3 linked regions of the Macaca mulatta genome follow. The protein of the gene in region 1 interacts with the protein of each later gene in a biochemical or structural test. Links are inferred from orthologs where the notes say so. Each region holds a gene or a part of one and is shown in the gene's direction. Other genes may lie near its edges.

Region 1 (7,383 bases):
TTTGAAATCTTCAAATTGTGTATCTCTTACATCTCTTTATAGGCAAGCACTATAAAAATGTGAATTTGAATATTATTTGATGGCAGGGCTTTTGTGATGCTTGTTTTCTTATAGAATGCAACAAAAATTTCATGGAAACAAAGTCTACTTTCTATTGAAGAACAATACTTGACATTGAGATTTTAAAAATTTTGCCATTTACATTTATCATTATTTTTCAATAATTTTGCGCTCTCATATCCAGACTGACTGTTTAAATAAGCATTTCTGCTTGCACAGCCCATTTGATGAAACATATTTATCATCAAGTTTATGTACTTGTATCACTATTGCACTCAAAGAAATATCAGGAGTCTCTGTGTAACTCCTTAGGATATATAAAATTCTTCATGTTTTAAGTGGAAGAGCATTGGAATGGTGACTTATCTAACTGGAAAAGTGGTTTGGAGGGTATTGGCCTTTGAGCATGAGGTCGCAATTAAGAAAAGCTGGAAATTGTCATACATATCCTGAATCGAAATACACCTTCAGAAAGAGATGAGGATATTTTGATCTTATAATGCTGAAAAGTCTATACTGCTAAAGATAAAAATGGTGAAATGTAAATATTGGTTATGAAATGGAAAATTTTTATTTCTTGTACCACTGAAGTTATTTTGTATAAACAGTATTGTCTAGCTTTCTTTTATCAAGATTTGAATGTTGTTATTTTGGTTTACCTTGGAGTACTAAGGGCAGGGACTTTGCTTTGCTGATCCCAAATCCCCAGAACTGTGCTTAACAAGTATTGGGTATTAAAAAAAGAGAGAGAGAGAGTTGTTGACTGAATAAGTAGATGAATGGATAAATAATCTTTGCATTTAAGAATTATGATTTCCAATGGCAAGAGAAGTATTGCTAGCACAAGATTTTCCTTTAGAATATAAAAAGATAAGATAATGTATCACAAATAAGTTCTTTATAAAGAAGCCTGCTTCATAATCAATGTGGTTCTTTTAAAGTCATGTAGGCATATTTACTACATCTGGCAATATAGAAACATTAGATTTTGCAGAACTATCTCTTTAGGCGTAGGATTATATTAAAGAATTAACATGATACAAGAATTATGAACACAAGTTTAGGAAATAACAGAAAAGAACCCTGACCAGTAAAAAAAAAAAAATTGTGATATTCAATTATAACATTAAAAAACACCAAAATTGTAAATATTGTGTAGAAGAAAACTAAATTATTAACTTGAATGGTTATGGTATTGCTGATAAATGCATCATCTTGACTCCTAGGAGAACCAATTTATGTGAAATTCCATGAAAAAGAATTAGTTACAACAAGCAGAATTTTAGTCTATTTCCAAGAATTTTAACTACTGTAAATCACCTGACACACTTCTCAATAATTAGGATATCATTTTGCATAACCACATGGGAACCTGGCCTAGAGGTCTATAGGTAATCTGTTTCATTCATGTATTTTAAGTATGTCGTTTAGGAATAAGTTATTAGGTTTACAACATATAAGCAAAGGAAATAATGTGACACTGGAAAACAACATTACTCATTTAACATAATGAATTGCCACATGTAATAACTCAGATCTTCCCAGGGTGTAAATTATATGAATTTGAAAGCTGCATTTATTATTTAATGCCTCATTCCCAGACAGGTGCTTACTCAGTAGCAAAATCTGCCTTAGCATACCAAGTGTAAAGCTATGTAACAAATAGGAAGGTTTAAAAAATAGATACTATCATGCAGACAGCTAAAATATTTGTATGTATTTTTAATCTTTTTTTCCTCTAATGATACTTAGAATATTTTATTTTTGTTACTACAAATAATGCAGATGAAATATGAATTGTATTAGTAGCAGAGACACATGAGCTAAAGCTTGTATTGTTTAAAGCACATCATCTTAAAAGGCCTGTCAGGAAACAGTGTTCATATTAAGTGGGCTTTCAGTACTCTAACAAGATGACATCATTTTCTAAGAGACAAGTGTTGTTAGAGTAACTGCTAGGATATTCCAAAATTTCTCATTATAGATTATTTAATGAGTTTATGTTCCCAGTTGTATATCAGCTCATGTTAAATTTTGCAAGAGTTTATGATTTCTAAGAGCTCATCTTCTGTAAGGCCCTTTGCTGAGTGGGGTTAGTTAGCAATCAGTAATTAAAGGGGATCTTTTTACCTCGTGTAAATAGCGTAAGAGTAATTTTGGGCGGTTTAGAAACGATGAGTTATCAGGAAGGTGCTTATCAATGGGCAGAGTATATCATTTGCCCAGGATTCTAACAACCTAGCCTGCCCCCCACACACTGTGGGGGACCGTCTGCTACTTGCCAAGTAATTGCCATTTTTGGCAAAGACCACCCAGGACATGGGCTCAGAGTCCATCCTAGGGCTGGCCAACCTCTGTAAATCTCGTGTCCCCTGATACGGAGCGAGTGCATTCAATTCAGGAAGATCACTTACGACTGAGTTTTTCATCATGGCTTTGACTGTGAAGCCCTCAGAAACCAGGGAGTGAGGCTGGTGCACCGGGAGCGGCTGTTGTGCCAGCAGCTTGGTCCTCTTCGGCATCTTGTCTGGGCATTTGTTTAAGCTCAGGGTCTCTTTTTCTGCCACCATCTTCCTAGAAAATGTCTTGTTCTCATAAAAAGTGTAGTAAAAGAATCAGTGGGTTTTACGGATGTGAGCAGGAGGTCGGGAAAAAAATGTCAAAAGGCGCGTTAATGGTAGAAATTCAACCCCTCGTAGTGCCCAGGTTGATCCAGATGTTTGGCAGCTCCTAGGTGAAGGGAGTTTAGGGGAGGGGTGGGGCGGGAAGAGGGCAGGACCGTAGCTAGAGCTGCAACAAGCTTCCAAAGGTAAGCCTCCCGGTTGCTAAGCGACTGGTCAACACTGCGGGCGCATAGCTCCGCCCCTCGGTGACGTACGATTGCTGGGCCTGAAGCCGGAAAGGGAGGCGGCGGTGAGCTGGAGGGCAGGAGGCGTGAGGAGAAACTACGCATTAAAACTACGACTCCCAGCAGGCCCTGGGCCGCGTACCCTCCGCGCGTGCGCATTCCTAGGGCCCGGCGCCGGGGCGGGGAGCCCTGGAAGATTTAACCCAGGAGAGCCGCTGGTGGGAGGCGCTGGCTGGCGCCGGTGCGCGCGTAGGCCCTTTCCTGGCCCGCAGCCGCCACCTGCCCAGTGACCATGATAGGTACGTGGGTACCTGCCAGGTACAGCCTCATCTGCGCCGCCCTGCGCCCCGGTGTGGCCTCGGCCGACCTGGACCCCAGGTGCCAACTGTCAGTGACGGGGCCAAAGTGCCCATGTCGTACCCGGCCCGCACCGCCGGGCTCTCCAGCTCAGCGACGCGGGCCCGGGGCCCCAGTGTGTGCGTTCCAAGCCCTCGCCCGCCCGCCCCTGCTCTGAGCGTTCCCGTGAAGACCGCCTCACCGGGGACGCCAGGCGGCCCCGCACCCCCGGTCCTCGCTCATGGTCCCCCGGACCGTGTAGGGTCCCGAAGCCTTCGCCCCGCCGCCGCCCCTCGCCCTCGAGGCCCTGGCCAGTTGTCGTGCGGTTCAGGACCCATCGAGACCCACTCTTTGTGGGGCTCTTTCAGGAAACCCCAGCAAAGCATTAAACTCTAATGGAAGGCACCTGGTGAGGGTGGCTGGGCGCCACAGAAACTCCTCCAGATGAATCTAAACTTCTTGCTCCCTCGGATGTTTCCTTTTAAACTTCTCGTTGGAGGGCTGAGGTGAAAGAAAAATTGAGAGTAAATAATAGCCAAGATTACATCTACTGCCTTTTGCAAAATAACTTTGTTTTTTTTGTTTTTTTTTGGTAAAACACAATGACCGAGGTGCAATTTTGTGAACAAAACTTAGTGGCATCAGAGTTGTTCATGAACACTTGATGTGTAAGATGAGCAAAGGTGCAAAGGTCCTCTTCCAGGGTTGTTGAACCAAAAACTACTTTAGGGGCTGTCCCTAAAAATGAATGGAAATGCACCATATGTTTAGAAGCCAGTGCTATATGGGGTTTCATTATTGTGGAAGTTTCTCCAGGTTATGTATGGAGGGTTTAGTGAGCTTGTTTAGGGCTAATTCCTGAGGAGCGTCCCTTACAAAACACTTTTGATTGCAGTAAGTACGTTCGAAGTCAGATGTGGTCTGTCCAGAAGTAAGGTGAGAGGTGGATTCATAAAATATATGATCTTTATGCACTGAAAACACGTACTACATCTGTTTTTATTTATGAAGTTATTGTTAAAATGTAAACATTCTGCCCATCAGTGGGAGAATCAAGCCAGCTAACTGGCATTGTCTTTGTCTCTGTGGTAAAACAAGAATGTTGTCCAGCCTTTCTTCCCTTTCTAGCATGGTCTGACTTTTGGTGAATGACTTGAAAGTTAACCAAATTATGAAAAAGTTATAATTTTTTGAGTTTTCTTGAGCTCTTTTTAGGTGACATTTACGTAAGATTCACTTGTAAGCACAAGTCTGAACTGAATCAGAAAACCAAGTAGAAGAGATTTTCCAAAATCCGTGCTATCAGTAGTCTACAGGAAGAAAATAGCCTATACCTTATTTTGAAGACAGTTAAATACATTTTATTTTAATTTAACTTAATCTAGTGCACAGATAATTTTAAGAGAAACAAATTTATTGTAAAGCTATATGAAGACAGGCACTTAAGATCTGGGATTAGAGGCGTAAGCCACCATGCCCAGCCTCATTAGCCACATTTCAGTAAACATCTGAATGGCCAGTTTGAGATTTGGGTGTGGTGAACAGTGCTAAAGGTAGGTGAAAGTGAAAACCATTAAAAGGAAGCCTTGGAGTGATGGGTTTTGTGTTTTTGTGACAAAAATTCAGAGCCAGGAAAGACATTATAGATTCTATCCAGTGATCAGTTGGAGATCAAAATGTAAATAGTATGTATCTGGGATTTTCTGTTAAAGGTAAGAGTGCTTCTCAAAGCTTGCTCCTTTCAGGCCTATGCTTTCTCTGTTACACTCACCTTGTTGCGGGATTCAGGAGGACGAGAGAGACCTCAGGTTGAAACAGGAGAATCTTGATCGAGTGCACTCAGGCCCAGCTGACTCACATGCAATAGACTGGGCCCAGAATAAAGACAGTACTTGACTTTTATACACACTTCACAAAAGGAGGTGGGCTAGCTTGAAGCAAACTTACAGTGGTGGCAAAGCAGGGATACAGAGGCAGGACAAAGGCAGGACTGCACATGACCATCGCCAAGCAACCCAGATGTTCGTTATCTAGGTTTCCCTGGGCACAGGCTTATCCTATAACCTTCACTGTGGTGCCCAGGCAGCTGTAGTTCAGGCCTACTCAGGCTTCTCATGACCTTCGTTGTACTTCTTAGATAAAACAGAATACTTGAAATCACTAGTTACAGAGAACAAGAGTCTATAAACTGATTCCATAAAACAAAGGAAAATTTGTTTTTCTTCTCCCTGTGTTGAGGGAGTGCTGGGAGAGTCTCCAGAGCACATTCGATAATATTATCAAGACTCTTCCTGGATCTGGGCTGTGCTGTTGCTGCCTCTGGGACAAGTTAGCCTAAAACAGGAAAACTTATTTCTTTTTCTTTTTAATTTTATTTTTCTTTAATTTCCCGCCCCAACCTTAATGCAAATAATATTCTGCCAGTTGGAGAAACGTAAAGATGGGTTTCCTGGTAGAAGAGGAGTAAACAGGACTGACTGCGACCTAACTGCTAGTGGAATGTACCTTCCTTTTACTTTCTCAAAACCAAAGATTCCCTTCTTGGGATGAGGACTGTTTCATAAGTCCTTACATTTCCCACCTGGACTGCGATTGATATGTTGAATGCCCTGACCTGGGCAGCTATGGAAACGTAATTTAATTGAAGTCGGTTAAAAATTGTGCCTTTGTGGAAGGTGTGGAGAAGGACTTCAAGATAATATAAAGCAGAATAGAAAAGCTTAAAAGAATTCAACGTAGAACAGTGTAATTTTTGGTATCTCTATTAAAAATATATTTTGACTTTTTAAAAAATGATCAGTTCTTTGTATTTAAAATGGAATGTTAGTGGTGATAATTTGTGGTATGTTCTAAATGTTCTGTAGAACTGGATTTAGGTATTTGAGTAACAGCAGATATTAGAGTGCTTGGTTATATATACACCAGTGTTGTCAGTATTGAAATACACATTCAGTGTCTTATACTTTTAAGAAGATTTTTGATTGACAAAAACCATTCATTGGAACATAGTCTCTTCTATACCTTGTTTCACTTAGCATCTCTTTGAGAATTTACATATCTGCATGTACAGATTCACTCCACAGCAGTTCCTGCCTAGTGTTTTATAGGATACACTAATGAAAATATTTACCAACAAATAAGCACTCATCAGGTTTACAGACAACTGTTATCAGAAATGTTTGTGGACATATCTTTTTACTTGCACATGTAAGCATATATGTAAAAGAGAAATCGTATGACAATTTGAGTTAAAGAGTTTGCAGATTTAAAATATTCCTAGGTATTTCAAAATTTTTCTAAAATAAGTTGCCCTATTTTACAAAGCTATCTAAAGCCTCCACGAATACAACATGGTAGTAAAGAGCTGCCCTGCCCCTCTGGCCTGAAAATTACCAAAAGACGTCCTTCCCGAGACTGACTCAGCTTTCACTAGCAGAACACCTCCTAGATCTCCAGTCCCCACCTCTCTCTCACCCTAGGTGTAGTGCCTTTCAGTGTACAAGCTGCACAACTGTCCTTGGTGGCCCTGCCCTCCCTTTCAGTGTGTATAAGGGTGCCCATTTCCTCCCATGTGCCATCAAAGATTTTTTATTTTTGCCCTCTTGACAGATTAAAAACAGCATCTTTTAACTTTGCAAATTAATTTGGAAGAAAACTTCCCATTTTCATCTTATAATGCGTTAGTTTCACAAAAGCAGATGCGGTGATTTCAGCACCTGCTGTGTACCCTTAACTGCTCTAGGTGCCAGGGAAACGAGGGAACAGAGCAGAAAAAGTCCCTTGCCATCAGGAATGTGCATTCTGACTTCACCATTTGCCCATATATCTGCATGTTTGTTTTCAAGCGTGTGTGCAGTGAATTTTAAAGTCTCAATTTATATTTCTAGTTGAATATTCTGTGTACTACTCTTTGCTCTGCCATTTTAATAAGTTGATGAAAAGCAGCTCTATGCCTAAGTACCCCAAAGCTTCTGTTTATGATGAGGTAAAATTGTGTCAAAAATAGGCTCTAATAAAGTTTTGCATAGAAGATTTTATGTAATTATATAATAGTTTTTCCTTGAGTCGGTCCAAAAGCTCTAAAATGACCCTTTGTCCTTTACAGTTTTGGCCCTATTTCTGAGGATATTTTTGAAGTC
Region 2 (7,221 bases), about 87 Mb from region 1:
AAAATTCCTCTCATTAACACAAAAAAAATCATATGCCAGAAAGATAATAATCTGTAGTTGAAAAAACTGAGAAGTAGATACTTGATTTCTCTGAGACCTCAATTATCTTCATCTGTAAAATAGGTATAAATAATTGGTGCCACCACTTCCAGGGCTGTTGTGAAGAATAAATGAGTTGACGTTATATCAAGTGCCTGATACACAATAGATGCTAAAAAACTATAGTCCAGACCTTGCACAAGGATGCAAATGGTGGTGGGGAAAGGGCTTGCACTTCAAACAACTTCTGGTTCCTAACTAAGGAAAAGATGAATTACACAGGTCAAGGATTGTGGTTCTAAGATGTTTTCTAAGATTCTGAAACATTTTAAACCTCATGTTTTGTAATTTTTGTTAGCTACGAAGTCGGCTTTAAGGATTAAAAAAAATCTTGAAATGAAAAACAAAGGAGTTTTCCTTAGGATCATCAAAAGTAAAGAAAAATTACCCCAAATTTGATCTGGGATTGAACCTTTACCTGATATAATTTGTAAATTTTTCTTGGAAGAAGTAAGTGTTCTAGATTTAAAAAATAAGTAATTTTTGGATAAGAAATTTTCCGGGGAAATGAGCTCCCTTCCCACCGTCAGTCAAGAATTCAGTAACCTTTAAATAAAATTACTCTTCTCTTTGTGTCTTTTTGAGACATGCTCTATCACCCAGGCTGCAATGCAGTGGCACGATCATGGCTCACTGCAGCCTGCTCCTCCTCTCCCATCCCCCAGAGCTCAACTGATCCTCCCTCCTCAGCCTCCAGAGTAGCTGGGACCACAGGTACATATGCCCGGCTAATTTTTGAGTGTGTGTATATTTTTAGTAGAGATGGGTCTCACCATGTTGCTCAGGCTGATCTCCAATTCCTGAGCTCAAGTGATCCACCCACCTCGGCCTTTTTTTTTTTTTTTTTGAGATGGAGTCTCATTCAGTCTTCCAGGCTGATCTCGGCTCACTGCAACCTTCACCTCCTGGGTTCAAGGGATTCTCCTACCTCAGCCTCCCAAGTAGCCGGGATTACATGCGCGCATCACCACACCAAACTAATTTCTGTATTTTTAGTAGAGACGGGTTTTCGCCATGTTGGCCAGGCTGGTCTCCAACTCCTGACCTCAGGTGACCTGCCTGCCTCGGCCTCCCAAAGTGCTGGGATTACACGCACGAGCCACTGCACCTGGCCGGCCACTTATCTTTTCTCTGTAAATGTCTCTACTGAGAGAAATTTTGGAATTGGCTTTGATCTTGGAGCATGATTGTAATTAAGCTTTGATATATGCCCATAATTAAATTGTTATGGGCACATGTCCACAATAAATTGTTATTGTTGTTAACCAAGGAAGGAGAGATTATTTCTACTGAACCAGTCCAGTGGGAGAAGAGCCCCAGGGAGCAGAGGAGGTGGTGGTGGCTAAAGAAGAGCCCCAGAAGACAACTGCACCCAGAGATTGATGGACCTGGAGGCTGAATAGCAAAAGGCTTCTAGTACTCAGCTATCAAATAGGAGCGCATTATATACAGCACCTGCTTTGCAGGCCTTGCTGTGGTAGGGCCTATTGCACAAATTAGGGGTTTTTGTAGAGCTGTGGCAGGAGAGGGTGTCAAGTGTTAGATATATCTGAAGATTCAACACAATGAATGAATGAAACAGCATTGGAGTTTGGTTTTGTTTGCATGTCTCAGCCAATCAGATTATCAGTTTACTATACAGAAAACAACCTCAGGGAATGGTTTAAAAGATACCATCTAATTTTAGATACCCTTCACTTTTTTCCTCCCAATTTCACCAAGAAATTCAGATTTATATTAACAATAGAAAACAAATCAAATTTAAGAGTTTTATATCTTTATATAACAGAATAAAACTTGCCCAACCTGATTAACCCTTTCTATCCGGCCCACCTTCCCAATCCCTCCCTCCTTTCCTTTCCTAAGGTAGGTTCCTACTCCTTGAGACTTTTGAACTCAGTCCTCTCTCTCGATCCCACACATTGGACAATGAAGCAGGAAGTGTGTCCTTTGAAGTTTAACCTTTCATATTTGTATGCTTTCCCTCAAATTCAATGTAATTCCTTTTTTTTTTTTTTGACAGCTTTTACATCTAAACAAACCAAAAAACCCAAAACTCCTGCAATGCCTAAAACAGCGTCTTGCACCTAACACACTACCCAAGAAAAAAAACTATTATGAATATCCAACTCCAGCCAGAGCCGTGACTCACGCCTGTAATCCCAGCACTTTGGGAGGCCGAGGCGGGCGGATCACTTGAGTCCAGGAGTTCGAGACCAGCCGGGCCAACACGACGAAACCCTGTCTCTATCAAAAATACAAAAAATTAACCGGGCGTGATGGCACACACCTGCGGTCCCAGCCACGCTGGAGGCTGAGGTGGGAGGATCGCCTGGGCCCAGGAGGTAGAGGCTGCAGTGAGCCAAGATCGCGCCACTGCACCCCAGCCTGGGCGACAGAGCGGTGACACCGTCTCAAAAAAAAAAAAAAAAATTCCTATTCCATTCCCTTATCACTGGCTTTCCCCCTCCTCACTTAACTCCCGCCCCCCGCAACAGGGACTGGATCTAAAAACAAAGCCCTTCCCAGACCCCGCGGGACCGCGCGCGGGCAGCCGGATGCGGACAGCTTTGCAGCCGGAGCCCGGCGCCCTCTCTGAGCTCTCCAGGGCCCGGGGATCCCAGACTTCGCCTACAGCGGGTAGGGCCGGAGCCGCTTCGCGCCGCGCGGTTCCTCGGTGAAACCCGCCAGCGCCTGGGGACGGACCCCAGAGGGTCCGGCGGAAGGCCGGTTTCCGGGGGCCGGAACGAGAGGACTAGGACGCCGCTCGCTCCTGCAGCTCCCCAAGCCGGCTTCGCGGGGCCGGCGGCGGCTGGGTAGGGACCGACCGCCACGAAGCTACTGCCACGTCAGGGCAACTTCACAAATCCCGGACGAGGGCGGGTGACGCAAGCCGGGCGGCCGCGACGGGGCTGGGCCTGCGGCTACCGGAGGAGGCTGACCTCCAGCCCGGGCGCCGGGTTCAGCGACGCCCCGGCCGGCGCCGGTGCCTGCCAGGCACTCAGGGAGGCGGGGGCGCAGCGGAGGAGGCGGCGCCATCGCGAAGCCAGCGCCTCGCCAGCACTCAGCCTTGCCACCCGCCCGCAGTCCGGGCTGGACTGGGCGGCATTTGCCAAGGCTCCTCGGCCAGGCCCCGTCCGCCCGAGCCGCGCTGAGACCTGGGCAGCGGCCGCGTGGAGAGGAGGTGGCAGCTGCCCGGGAGGCCGGAGCCAGGCCAGCGACCCGCCATGGAGACCCGCTACAACCTGAAGAGTCCGGGTGAGCAGGGCTGGGGCCCCTGGGCTAGGAGTGCGGAGTGACCCTGGACCCCGGGGCGGTCGCCGCGGTCCCCTCACGTCTGGCGCCACTCGCGGCTCAGCTCCTGGTTTCGCGCTCTACGCGAGACCGCCGCCTGCCCGGGAAGTGCAGGCCGCAGGGCGGGGTGGCCGGGTGGACGCCCGCTGCCAATCCCCCGGCCGGCCAGCGCCCGCAGCACCCAGCCTCCCCCTTTTCTCGTCTTCGCCCGGTCCCGTAGAGCTGGGTCAGAAACTCATCCCTGAGAACAGGTGTAAAGGTGATGTGGGTGGGCGATAGTCAGCAACCCCCTCGCTGTACCTGCATCCTGAACACCGTCGTTAATTCCCTCCCCGTCGCTGTCAGTGGACTATTAGCCTGCTGATTTACTCACATTTGAGGAGTTAGTCGTTTAAACATCCTATTTGCAGCACTTGGGCGAATGCAATTACAGACATAAAGGAAGTGTTCTGTAACTAAACCAGTTAACTGTAGAGCTAAAGCAAAACAAAACAAAAACAAAACAACAACAACAAAAAACACCTAGTTGAGCCCTGTTCTTGAGAGCTAACCTTGATTTTTGCCAGACTGGCTAATATGAAACATATCTGTCTTCAGTCGTAGGATTCCTTTCCTGCATTTAATGATCCTGCTTTATTTACACAAGCAGTCCCAGCAATACTAACCTTTACTTTCTGGTGCATTATAAAGATAAGCAACTAGCTTTCTCAGCTTAATGAAACAGGCTTGAAATAAATCATTGGATCCTCTAAATGGTATTTTTTCTATCTGTACCTTGATACATTTTGTCAGGGGGAAGAAACTCTACAGTTAACTCTGCATGATAAACTCTAGGGTATTAGTGATTTCACTAACTTTTGCGTTGCTTAACATTTCCTTCCAAAAAAAGCTGTTTCTCAGTAGGAATTAGCAAGACTAGCATCCTTATGGAAAGAGTTGACATTGTGAATCTTTGGGTTTTTTGTATGGTTTCAGAATATGCAAAAACCCCAGAAAAGCCTGAGGATATTGATTGGAGGGAGCTTTGTTAACCTGAGTGCTGTCAAGCTCAGAAATGTCCTTAGGTGACCAAGTGTGTAGAATTGGTCATAATATTTTAGGGGCCACTGACTCCTCAAAAAAATCTGATGAAGACCTGGCACGGTGGCACATGCCTGTAATCCCAGCACTTTGGGAGGCCTGAGCCCAGGAGGTGGAGAGCAGCCTGGCCAACATGGCGAAAGCCCGTCTCTACTAAAAACACAAAAATTAGCCGGGCATGGTGTTGGCGCACTTCTGTAGTTCCAGCCACTCGGGAGGCTGAGGCAGGAGGATGGCTTGACCCGTGGAGGCTGAGGTTGCAGTGAGCCAATATCGCGCCACTGCACTCCAGTGTGGGCAACAGAGCGAGACTCCATCTAAAAAAACAAAAACAAAAACAAAAAACAAAAAGAACCCCGGGGTGGGGAGGGAGGAAGAAAAGACCAAAGAGAAAGAGGGAAAGAAAAGCTTAATTTTTAAGGTAGATGGTAAAATGATTGAATTCTTTACATTGTGGTAGATTTAACTAGAACTGTTTGGGTAAAAATGTATGATGGCTTCCTGGTCACATGGTTCCTTAGGACAGCAGAGGTGCTCAGTGAAAGGTCCAGAGAATAATGCACATGTGAGTAGTAGTGCAGTTTGGAATGGAGAACTGGTGGAACCCAAGAGATTGTTGTCAGAAAACATCGCTCAATTTTGATAGGTTAGACGTAATACTATGATGATGTTTTTAAAATTCTTCAGAATTTTGTACATTTCCAAAGTATGTCAACTATTGTCAGCTGGTTGAGCTTTGGTTGACATGCTTCTAACTGTGTCATAAATTGCTTCCTTTTTTTGGTTTCATTTCCTCAAAGATAGTGTTGCGGTTCTAAAAAAAAAAACAGTGCTTCTTAAAAATCTATTTTTGTTAATGTGTGAATTATTTGGAGTTCATGGAGAAGTTGAATTAGGTGAGATATGGGACTTACTGAAAATGCTGGGAGGCATCGTGAAAATACTTCCTTCCTTTGCTTTATTCTCAGTCCTGTGTTATTTTTAGAGTAATGCCTGTGTGAAGGGGAGCAACTGAAAACTCCAGTTTCCTGCGTACGGCAGGGTGCACACACACGTAAAACACCAACCAACCAGACAAACAAAAAACAACCACACAACGGGAGAGACATAATCTTTTACTCTTTATCTGATGTGGGATTGTCTTTGATGTATGAGTGGAAAGATGAAGTGAAGACAATACAGATAGTTGGTTAAGGGCCAGTGTAGTAGCATGTGGATATAGTAAATTTGTTCATTTCATAGGTGGGGAAACTTTTTCCTTTATGGTGTTTTTTGGAATGGACTTGTGATTGTGGGTAGAGCTGTTGTGTAGGATCACCTCAAAGCCTCTGACTAACCTGTCAGTAGTTGTCTATGGATCAATTTACTTGACCCATGTTTGGGTCCGCTCTGGCCAAGGAAGTAGAGTCCTATAGTACAAAGTGAGTAGATGTGTATATAGCACCTCTTTTGGCAGCTTCTTCATCGGGGGCCATTGACATGTGCAGCAGGTGATGGGAGTATAAGAGACTGGTGCAAAAGTACCCACTGCCTCCACCAGAAGTCTAAGAGTAACCTGTGCATGCCATTGGTGTCAACTGCACCTTCACACTAATCCACTCAAGGTTTCATGTCCAACTCAGACCCTTTTCCTAAGCTATAGATACACAGAACTTATGGTGACTCAACGTCTTCATCTTTATTTCCCATAAAGCAAAAAAAATCTTTACAAGTATAAAGACGAAACTCATAGTTTTCCTCTCCTCCCCTAAACTTGCAGTTTACCCTAATATTTCATATCCCATGGATAGACAGCACTCAGGCACCTATGGGAGTCATTTTTTATTTCTTGGTCGGCTTCCTTGCTCCATCCCTGCCCTGAAACACACAACTCAACACACACACACAAACACATATGTCTAATCAGTCACTGTTGTCACCAGATCAATTAAAACAAAAAATGATTACCCCTCAAATTGAAAAATTTTCAGTAGCTTTCTGATAGCTGTCGATAAAGTTCAAAGTAAACTGCTTAGCTTGGCCTAATGATTGACCCTGGCCTTCCTCACCAGCCTCATTGTCCACATTCTTATGCTCTTTTGCATTTTCTTTTTTTTTTTTTGGAGACAGGGTCTCCCAGCCTGGAGTGCAGTGGTGCCATCACAGCTCACTACAGCCTCAACCTCCTGGGCTCAAGCGATTCTCCCACCTCTGCCTCCCGAGTAATGGGGACCACAGGTGTGTGCCACCACGCCCAGCTAATTTTTATATTTTTTGTAGAGAGGAGGGTTTCACCATGTTGCCCAGGCTGGTCTCAAACGCCTGAGCTCAAGTGTTCCCTCTACCTTGGCTCCCCAAATTGGTGAGATTACAGGTGAGAGCCACTGCACCAGGCCTGCATTTTTACCTATCCATTTTGCCTGAATGACTCTCCAGCTGGAGTAGCTTTTCTCACTTACATGCTTTGGTTCCCATTGGAACCTCTGCTTAGAATGCCTTCCTTTAAATCCATCTGAAATTCCTATAGTTCTTCAAGCTTTAAGGTTCAGCCTTGTCTAGCTCCCCTAGGCAGACTAAAGTAGTTCCTACATATACTTGTACATAAATACTTGGTCAATATTACCACTTGTGTTGTAATTATCTTCATGTCTTTCTCTACTCAGTGTTATGGAAGACAAGAAGCAGGTCTTGGTCATTCTTTTATCTCCAACACTCGGACATTCTTTAAATGTTTGTTGAACTGATACCTTTGCAGGGTCCTCCTGGGCA
Region 3 (7,342 bases), on another chromosome or scaffold:
ATGGTCTCGATCTCCTGACCTCGTGATCCGCCCGTCTCGGCCTCCCAAAGTGCTGGGATTACAGGCTTGAGCCACCGCGCCCGGCCCCCAGCAGGATGTTTTAAAAAATTTTTAGAGATGGGGGTCTCACTATATTGCTGTATTAGTGCATCGTCACATTACTATGAAGAACTGCCTGAGACTGCGGTAATTTATAAAGAAAAGAGGTTTAATTGACTCATAGTTCTGTAGGCTGTACAGGAAGCGTGGCTAGGGAGGCCTCAGGAAACTCATGGCAGAAGAGGAAGGAGGCACGTCTTACATGGTTGGAGCAGGAGGGAGAGCAGAGGGAGATGCCACACACTTTTAAACAAGCAGATCTTGTGAGAACTCACCGTGACAACAGCAAGGGGAAAATCTGCCCCCATGACCCAGTCACCTCCTGCCAGGCCCCTCCTCCAACACTGGGGATTACAATTCAACCATAAGGTTTGGGCATGGACACAAATCCAAACTATAAATCAGTTGCCCAAGCTGATCTCAGACTCCTGGCCTCAAGTGATCCTCCTGCCTCAGCCTCTCAAGTAGTTGGGATTACAGGCGTGAGCCACGGCGCCCAGCAAAGGCATGTTCTTGAGGTTGTCTTTTCTCTGAGATTTATGCGAATTGTGCATTTGGAAAAATAGATTTGTTGGGATTACTATTTTCAAGAACATTAATTATGAGAAACTGAATCTTTGGGTTAAATTGATGCTCCTGGAGGAGAGAGGACCTATTTATCCTGGTATCTATGCCTGGGGTTCCAACTGGAACTTCTCCAGCTTTTGCACCGAAAGGAACCCCCACTCCCAGGAAACTTGTCGTCTTAGCCATGCTGCAGGAGTGCCCAGCTGGAAACGCGTGATGTTCACCGGAAAGCCCCACCGTGTGACATGGGTTAAGCTGTGAGGTCCTTTTTATATTTCAGAACTTCAGTTGCTAAAGATAGAAGGCATTAATTTTATTCTGTACAGTTGGCCTCTCCAGGGTGTGCTGCCATGCAGTATTACACACTGGCTGCTCAGAACCCCTGGGACTCCAGTGCCACTTAGATCAAGTGAGTTGAGAGTTGCACGAGTTAGCCGATTAAAATACAGGATGCCCAGCTAAACTTGAATTTCACACAAGGAACTGAACGATGACCATGAAAAGAAATGTTGCAGAGAGCCTGGTTCTCTGAAGATAAGGTGGTGTAACAGCCCCGTTGAGGGGAGAGACTGCCATCTTATTTCAGCAACTCATATTTTGGACTTTTGTCACTTGAAGCCGAAGCTAATCCTGAGAGAAGCCGTAAACCACATTTCTGAAAAATAGTAATTGGAGAACATACAGTGTTCTACAGTAAGATGTCTGGAAAAGATTGATAAAATTATGAAAATATCCAGCATATGTTATAGTGAGCATCACGGCATTGACAGTAATGCTTTATTGCCCATATTTCCCATAACTGGAAAAGGGGAGCTGCTTTCCTTTAGTAGCACTGGACAGAAACGCCTTGGGGTGTGGGGTGCTGTCTGATTACAGAGAGAGCAGCTCTTGAATGGGGAAGGAAACACCTCCATTGTGACTTTTTGCACATTGCATTTGCACAAATTACTCTCTGAAACAGTCTCAAAGAACAATGTCATTTTTATAAAGCACTGTGTTCATTTGAAAAGATAGAGGTAGACTGAAATTCTGAATTTTAGGGAATTTTCCTACAATATGCATACTTGTGAAGTTTGCATTGTTAAATTTCATTTGATTTGACAAATCCGTATTAAGAGTATATGGTGTCCAGGTACAGAGGCTGCCCCAGAAACAAGACAGAAGTAGGCAGAGAACCTTGGCTCTCATGGAACACGGTTTTGGTTAGAAGCAACAGATAAGGGTAATAAATTTATAGCATGCTAGTAAGTTCTATAGTACGGTGTGTTGGGTAGGAGTTGCAGAGAGAAAGGTATGCGGTGAAGGCCGGGTGGTGATGGTCTAGGCCACACTGAAGAGGCAACATTTGAGCAAAGACTGAAAGAGAGTGGGAAGAGTTGGGGACCAGAGCCGCCAGAAGAAAGTGTTTCCGGGGTGGGAAAAGTCAGGGACTCTGAACAAAGCCAGGGCAGCTGGAGTGGAGTGAGAGGGATGTCGGGAGGGTCTGGGAGGACGGCGGGGTGGCCCAAGGCAGTGCTTTACTGAGTGAAATGGGCGGAGCAGCGTGTGAATGTGATCAGACTTCTTTTACAGAGATCATCTGCAATGCTGGAAGGGAAAAGACAAATGAAGAGGTTATTGCAACGAACAGCCAGGCAAGAGATGCAAACGTTTTTTGCAAAGGTGTGTGTGTATATACATCCTTGCACTGGACAGCCACGAAGCACTCACTGTGAAGTAAGGATGTGGTTTCAAATCGCTCACCTATTCACAGCGGGTCAATCGGGAAAGCACTCCCACTCAGTACAGCCATTACGGGAAAAGGGCTAGCTCCTTACAGGATCCTCAACTGTGGAGAGGCCGGGAGCCCACGCGGGGCGCTGGGGAGTCTCTCAGCACCCCAGGGGCTCGGGCAGGGACCCGAGCCGCGCCCTCCCTCCCGGGGGTGCCCTGGTGTCGAGGCTGCCCAGCGGAGCTGGCGGCTCTCTCCCTCGAAGTAGAAGGTGCTGGACCCGAACTCCAGCGGAGCCGCACAACACGTGGAGAAAAAGCGCCAGGACAGCCAACCTTCCCACCTTTTCAAACCTGAAACCCGGCCGGCCGGGGGCGGCTGGAACGTTCAGTGCGGACCCGTGCCTCAGGCGCCTTGTTCCCAGCCCCCGACCGCCCCGCGACCTCCCATCTCGTCTCCGCCCTCCCTCCCCAACTTCCATCCTCCCCACTACAAACTCCGTCCTCCCGCCCTTCGGCAGCGCGTGGCTGGCACGGAACAGGCAGCGCACACACTAGAACAGGCGCCACCGTTCAGGAAGTCTCTACAAGACCAGGACCCTGAGGCCTCTGTGCCGGGACCGGAACCAACCACGCAGAGCGACTAAGGACGGGGCAAGAGCCGAGAGAACCCGCTGCCGCCCGTTGAACTGCCACCGCCCCGACAGCGCGCTTCCGCGATTGCGCACGCGCGCTGCGCACCACGCCCCGGAAGAGTTCCTAGGCTCGTGACGGTGACCCGGAAGCAGCCCCCGGTGTCGGGGCAGGAGGGACGCGCGCGGCTGAGGCGAGGTCGCTCAGCGAAGCTGTTGCGGGGCCATGGCGGGGACGGCGCTGAAGAGGCTGATGGCCGAGTACAAACGTGAGTTCGGGGATCTGGGCGGTCAGCAGCGTCCCGCATTCCTGCTCCCGGGCCCGCGTCGTCCGGTGGGGCTGGGGCAGAGAGCCTGGCGGGGGAGCCGGGCGCGGGGCCTCCACCGCGAGCCCCGCTGTGGGTCCCCCGGAGCGCCGCTCTCTGCGCCCGCTGCCTGCCCTCACGCGTGAAGTGAGGAGAAGCCTTCCCAGCGTCGGTAAAGGCAGCGCCGGCGCCGTGTTAGTTGAGAGCACACACAGTTGAGTCTTTGCGGGCTTTCTTTTTTCTCTTTTCTAGTAATTCTTTTCTTGGCAGCCTTGAGAACGTGCAGTGAGAGCTTGGGGAAGAAGGCCTGAGTTGCTGCTGAGGAATTAGGGGGGAAAAGTGTATGCGTTAAAAGGGGAAAAAGACTCGTTGGTGGAGCTTTAGGTGAAAGGTCAGATTTTGGCTTTCCCTTCAGTGAAGGAAAAGGGCTTTTGAACAGTGCCACCTGTCACTCCTCCTAGGTAGTGTTGAGAAAACCTCATGAGTGCTTTCCTACCCGGTACGTTAGATATTTCTAATGTCTGAGGAGAGCGAAGGGAGAAATGAGAACCTAGGAGCACTCGGCATTCCATCGTTTTACACCGAATTCCCGCTCGGAAGAACTGCTGCGAGAAGTCTTGGAATGCCATTGTGTTGAAAGCGCCAGAAACCTGACTCGCCGGCGGAGACAAGATAGCCGGCTAAGAGCAGGGCCCGAGTTCAGACCCGGCCTCTCAGCTCCTTAGCTCTTTGACCTTGTTCCTCTCTCGCAGTCTCTGCAGTTTCTTTATCTTAAAAGGTTAAAGTTGATACTGCCGGTGAAGTGCTAAATACCTGATGTGTAAACTCTTAATAAAGTTAGCCGCTGCTTTTGTAATTAGATTGAGGGTAATTTTGGAAGAAGGTTAAAAATAGGCTGAACTAATGAATGTGATAAAACAGAAATAAGTGGTGAATATACATGTAGCTTGATTTCGTATAGCTGTATTGGTGACACTGCACAGTGAGAGTTGATGTTTGGCTTAAGCAGACCAAAACATTGCAAATACAGGTTCACTCAGGTATGGTCATTCATTCCTTGGTATCTGGAGGGGATTGGTTCCAGGCCCACCTGCAGATACGGATGCTCAAGTCTCTACTATAAAGTGGCGTGGTATTTGCATTTAATGTATGCATAGCCTCTCATAACTTTTAAATCATCTCAAGGTTTACTTATAGTACCTAATGCAGTGTAAGTGCTGCGCAAATAGTTATACTGATTTTTTTTACTTTTATTTTTAAATCGTTATTTTTTTCAAGTATTTTGTATTCCTAGTTGGTCGAATCCATGAATGTGCAGGAGCAGATACGCGGCCTGCTGTAAAAGTTCAAATAACGCTCGCCACCTAGTGTCTGCTAAAGCAGAACGTAGAGGCACACTTACTTTCCCGCGCACTTTGCTTGATTGAGTTTCACTTCGCAGATATTGCATGTTTTACAAGTTTACAAGTTTTTTTACAAGCAACCCTGCATGGGAGCAAGTCTGTTGGCACCATTTTTGCTCACTTCGTGTCTCTGTGTCACATTTTAATCTATTACGGTGATCTATGATCAGTAATCTTTGATTTTTTTTTTTTTTTTTTGAGACAGAGTCTCGCTCTGTCACCCACCCAGGCTGGAGTGCAGTGGCCGGATCTCAGCTCACTGCAAGCTCTGCCTCCTGGGTTTATGCCATTCTCCTGCCTCAGCCTCCCGAGTAGCTGGGACTACAGGCGCCCGCCACCTCGCCCGGCTAGTTTTTTGTATTTTTTTAGTAGAGACGGGGTTTCATGGGGTTAGCCAGGATGGTCTCGATCTCCTGACCTCGTGATCCGCCCGTCTCGGCCTCCCAAAGTGCTGGGATTACAGGCTTGAGCCACCGCGCCCGGCCGATCAGTAATCTTTGATGTTACTGTTGTAATTATTTTGGGGCATCACGAACCATGCCCATAAAAGATGGTCGTCCTAATAAATGTTGTGTGTGCTTCACTGACTGGCTGTTTCCCCATCTCTCTCCCGGCCTCTCTCTTCCCTGAGACAAAACAATATTGAATAGGCCAGTAATAACCGTACAGTGGGCTGAAGTGTTCAAGTGAAGAGTTGCACTCCACCCAGTTCAAATCAAAAACTAGAAATGATTAGGTTTAGTGAGAAAAGAATGTTGAAAGTCAAGACAGGCTGAAAGCTGGGTCTCTTGCACCAGTTAGCCAAGTTGTGAATGCAAAGGAAAAGTTCTTGAAGGAAATTAAAAGTGTTGCTCTGTTGAACACAATGAATAATAAAGTGAAAAAGCCTTACTGCTTATGTGAAGAAAGTTTTAGTGGTTTGGATAGAAGATCAAACCACTCATAACATTCCCTTAAGCCAAAGCCTAATCCAGAGCAAGGCCCTAACTCTTCAGTTTTATGAAGGCTGAGAGCAGTGAGGAAGCTGCAGAAGAAAAATTGGAAGCTAGTAGAGGTTGGTTCATGAGATTGAAGTAAATAACCTGTCTCCATAACATAAAAGCACAAGGTGAAGCAGCAAGTTCTCCAGAAGATCTAGCTAAGATCAAGATGAAAGTGACTCTTAAATTAAGCGATAGATTTACAAGGTACGTAAAATAGCCTTATGCAGTATTGGGAGGAGGAGATGCCATATACAACTTAAACAGCTAGAGAGAAGTCAGTGACTGGCTTCAAAGGACAGGCTGACTCTTGTTAGGGGCTAATGTCAGTCACTTTAAGTTGACTTTGAGTTGAAGCCAGTGCTCATTTATCCTTCAGAAAATCTTAGGGCCCTTAAAAATTATGCTGAATCTACTCTGAGCTCTAGGGATGGTACAACAGCCTGGATGACAGCACATCTAAGTACAACATGGTTTACTGAATATAAGCCCACTGTTGAGACCTACTGCTCAGGAAAAAACAGATTATTTTCAAAATATTATTGCTGACAGTGCACCTGGTCACTCGAGCTCTGATGGAGATGTATAAGGAGATAAATGTTTTTATGCCTGCTAACACAACACCCATTCTGCAGCCCATGGATCCAGGAACAATTTTCACTTTTATTTAAGAAATACATTTCATAAGGCCATAGCTGCCATGAAAGGTGATTTCTTTGATGGATCTGGGCAAAGAAAATCAAAAGCCTTCTGGAAAGGATTTATTATCCTAGATGGCATTAAGAACATCTGTGATTCATGGGAGGTCACCGTATCAACAACAGGCTTTTGAAAAAGTTGATTTCAATGCTCATGGATGACTTTAAGGGGAGGAGGCAACTGCAGATATGGTGGAAATAGCAAGGAAACTGCAGTTAGAGGTGGAGCATGAAGATGTCACTCAGTTGCTACAATCTCATGATCAAACTTGAGCAGATGGGGAGTTGAGTCTTACAGATGAGCAAAGAAGTGATTCTTGAGATGGGATCTACTCCTGGTGAAAATGCTGTGAACATTGTTGAAATGACAACAAAAGATTGAGACTATTCCATAAACTTAGTTGATAAAGCAGCGGCAAGGTTTGAGGGTATTGACTCCAATATTGAGTGAAGTTCCAGTCTGGGTAAAATGCTGTCAGACAACATCACAGACTACAGAGCAATCTTTGGTGAAAGAGTCAGTCCCTGTGGCAAACTTAATTGTTTTATTTTCAGAAACTACCACAGCCACTCCTGCCTTCAGCAACTACCACCCTGATCAGTCAACAGCCATCAATATCCCGGCAAGACTGCACCGGCAAAAAGATTATGACCTGCTGAAGGCTCAAATGATTGTTAGCATTTTTTAGCAATAAAAATTAAGCATATTTTGGCAAATAATTTTTTTTTTTTTTTTTTGAGACAGGGTCTTGCTCTGTTGCCCAGGCTGGAGTGCAGTGGCACAACCACAGCTCATTGCAAGCCTTGACATCCTAGGCTCAAGCTATCCTCTCACTTAATCCTCCTGAGTAGCTGAGACTACAGGCACGTGCCGCTACACCTGGCTGATTTTTCTGTCTTCATCTTGACCTCCATGTTGTCAGGGTTTGACAAAAGTGACTCCATTTT

The links. The genes of interacting proteins can lie anywhere in the genome.
Region 2: the proteins of PRKN (region 1) and UBE2J1 form a complex in vitro, tested with the Homo sapiens proteins (4 studies listed by BioGRID). The link is inferred for Macaca mulatta from reciprocal best matches to the Homo sapiens genes PRKN and UBE2J1.
Region 3: the proteins of PRKN (region 1) and UBE2G2 form a complex in vitro, tested with the Homo sapiens proteins (6 studies listed by BioGRID). The link is inferred for Macaca mulatta from reciprocal best matches to the Homo sapiens genes PRKN and UBE2G2.

What each region holds. Positions count from the first base shown.
Region 1 is NC_133409.1:9,423,196-9,430,578, forward strand, and holds the start of PRKN (E3 ubiquitin-protein ligase parkin), read left to right. Parts: upstream 1-3,101; 5' UTR 3,102-3,200; coding exon 3,201-3,207; intron 3,208-7,383. Other genes in the region: PACRG (parkin coregulated gene protein), read right to left, coding at 2,475-2,630. UniProt on the Homo sapiens protein: Functions within a multiprotein E3 ubiquitin ligase complex, catalyzing the covalent attachment of ubiquitin moieties onto substrate proteins. Substrates include SYT11 and VDAC1.
Region 2 is NC_133409.1:96,635,553-96,642,773, forward strand, and holds the start of UBE2J1 (ubiquitin-conjugating enzyme E2 J1), read left to right. Parts: upstream 1-3,009; 5' UTR 3,010-3,326; coding exon 3,327-3,357; intron 3,358-7,221. UniProt on the Homo sapiens protein: Catalyzes the covalent attachment of ubiquitin to other proteins. Functions in the selective degradation of misfolded membrane proteins from the endoplasmic reticulum (ERAD) and is essential for cells to recover from ER stress.
Region 3 is NC_133408.1:2,722,992-2,730,333, forward strand, and holds the start of UBE2G2 (ubiquitin-conjugating enzyme E2 G2), read left to right. Parts: upstream 1-3,130; 5' UTR 3,131-3,234; coding exon 3,235-3,277; intron 3,278-7,342. UniProt on the Homo sapiens protein: Accepts ubiquitin from the E1 complex and catalyzes its covalent attachment to other proteins. In vitro catalyzes 'Lys-48'-linked polyubiquitination. Involved in endoplasmic reticulum-associated degradation (ERAD).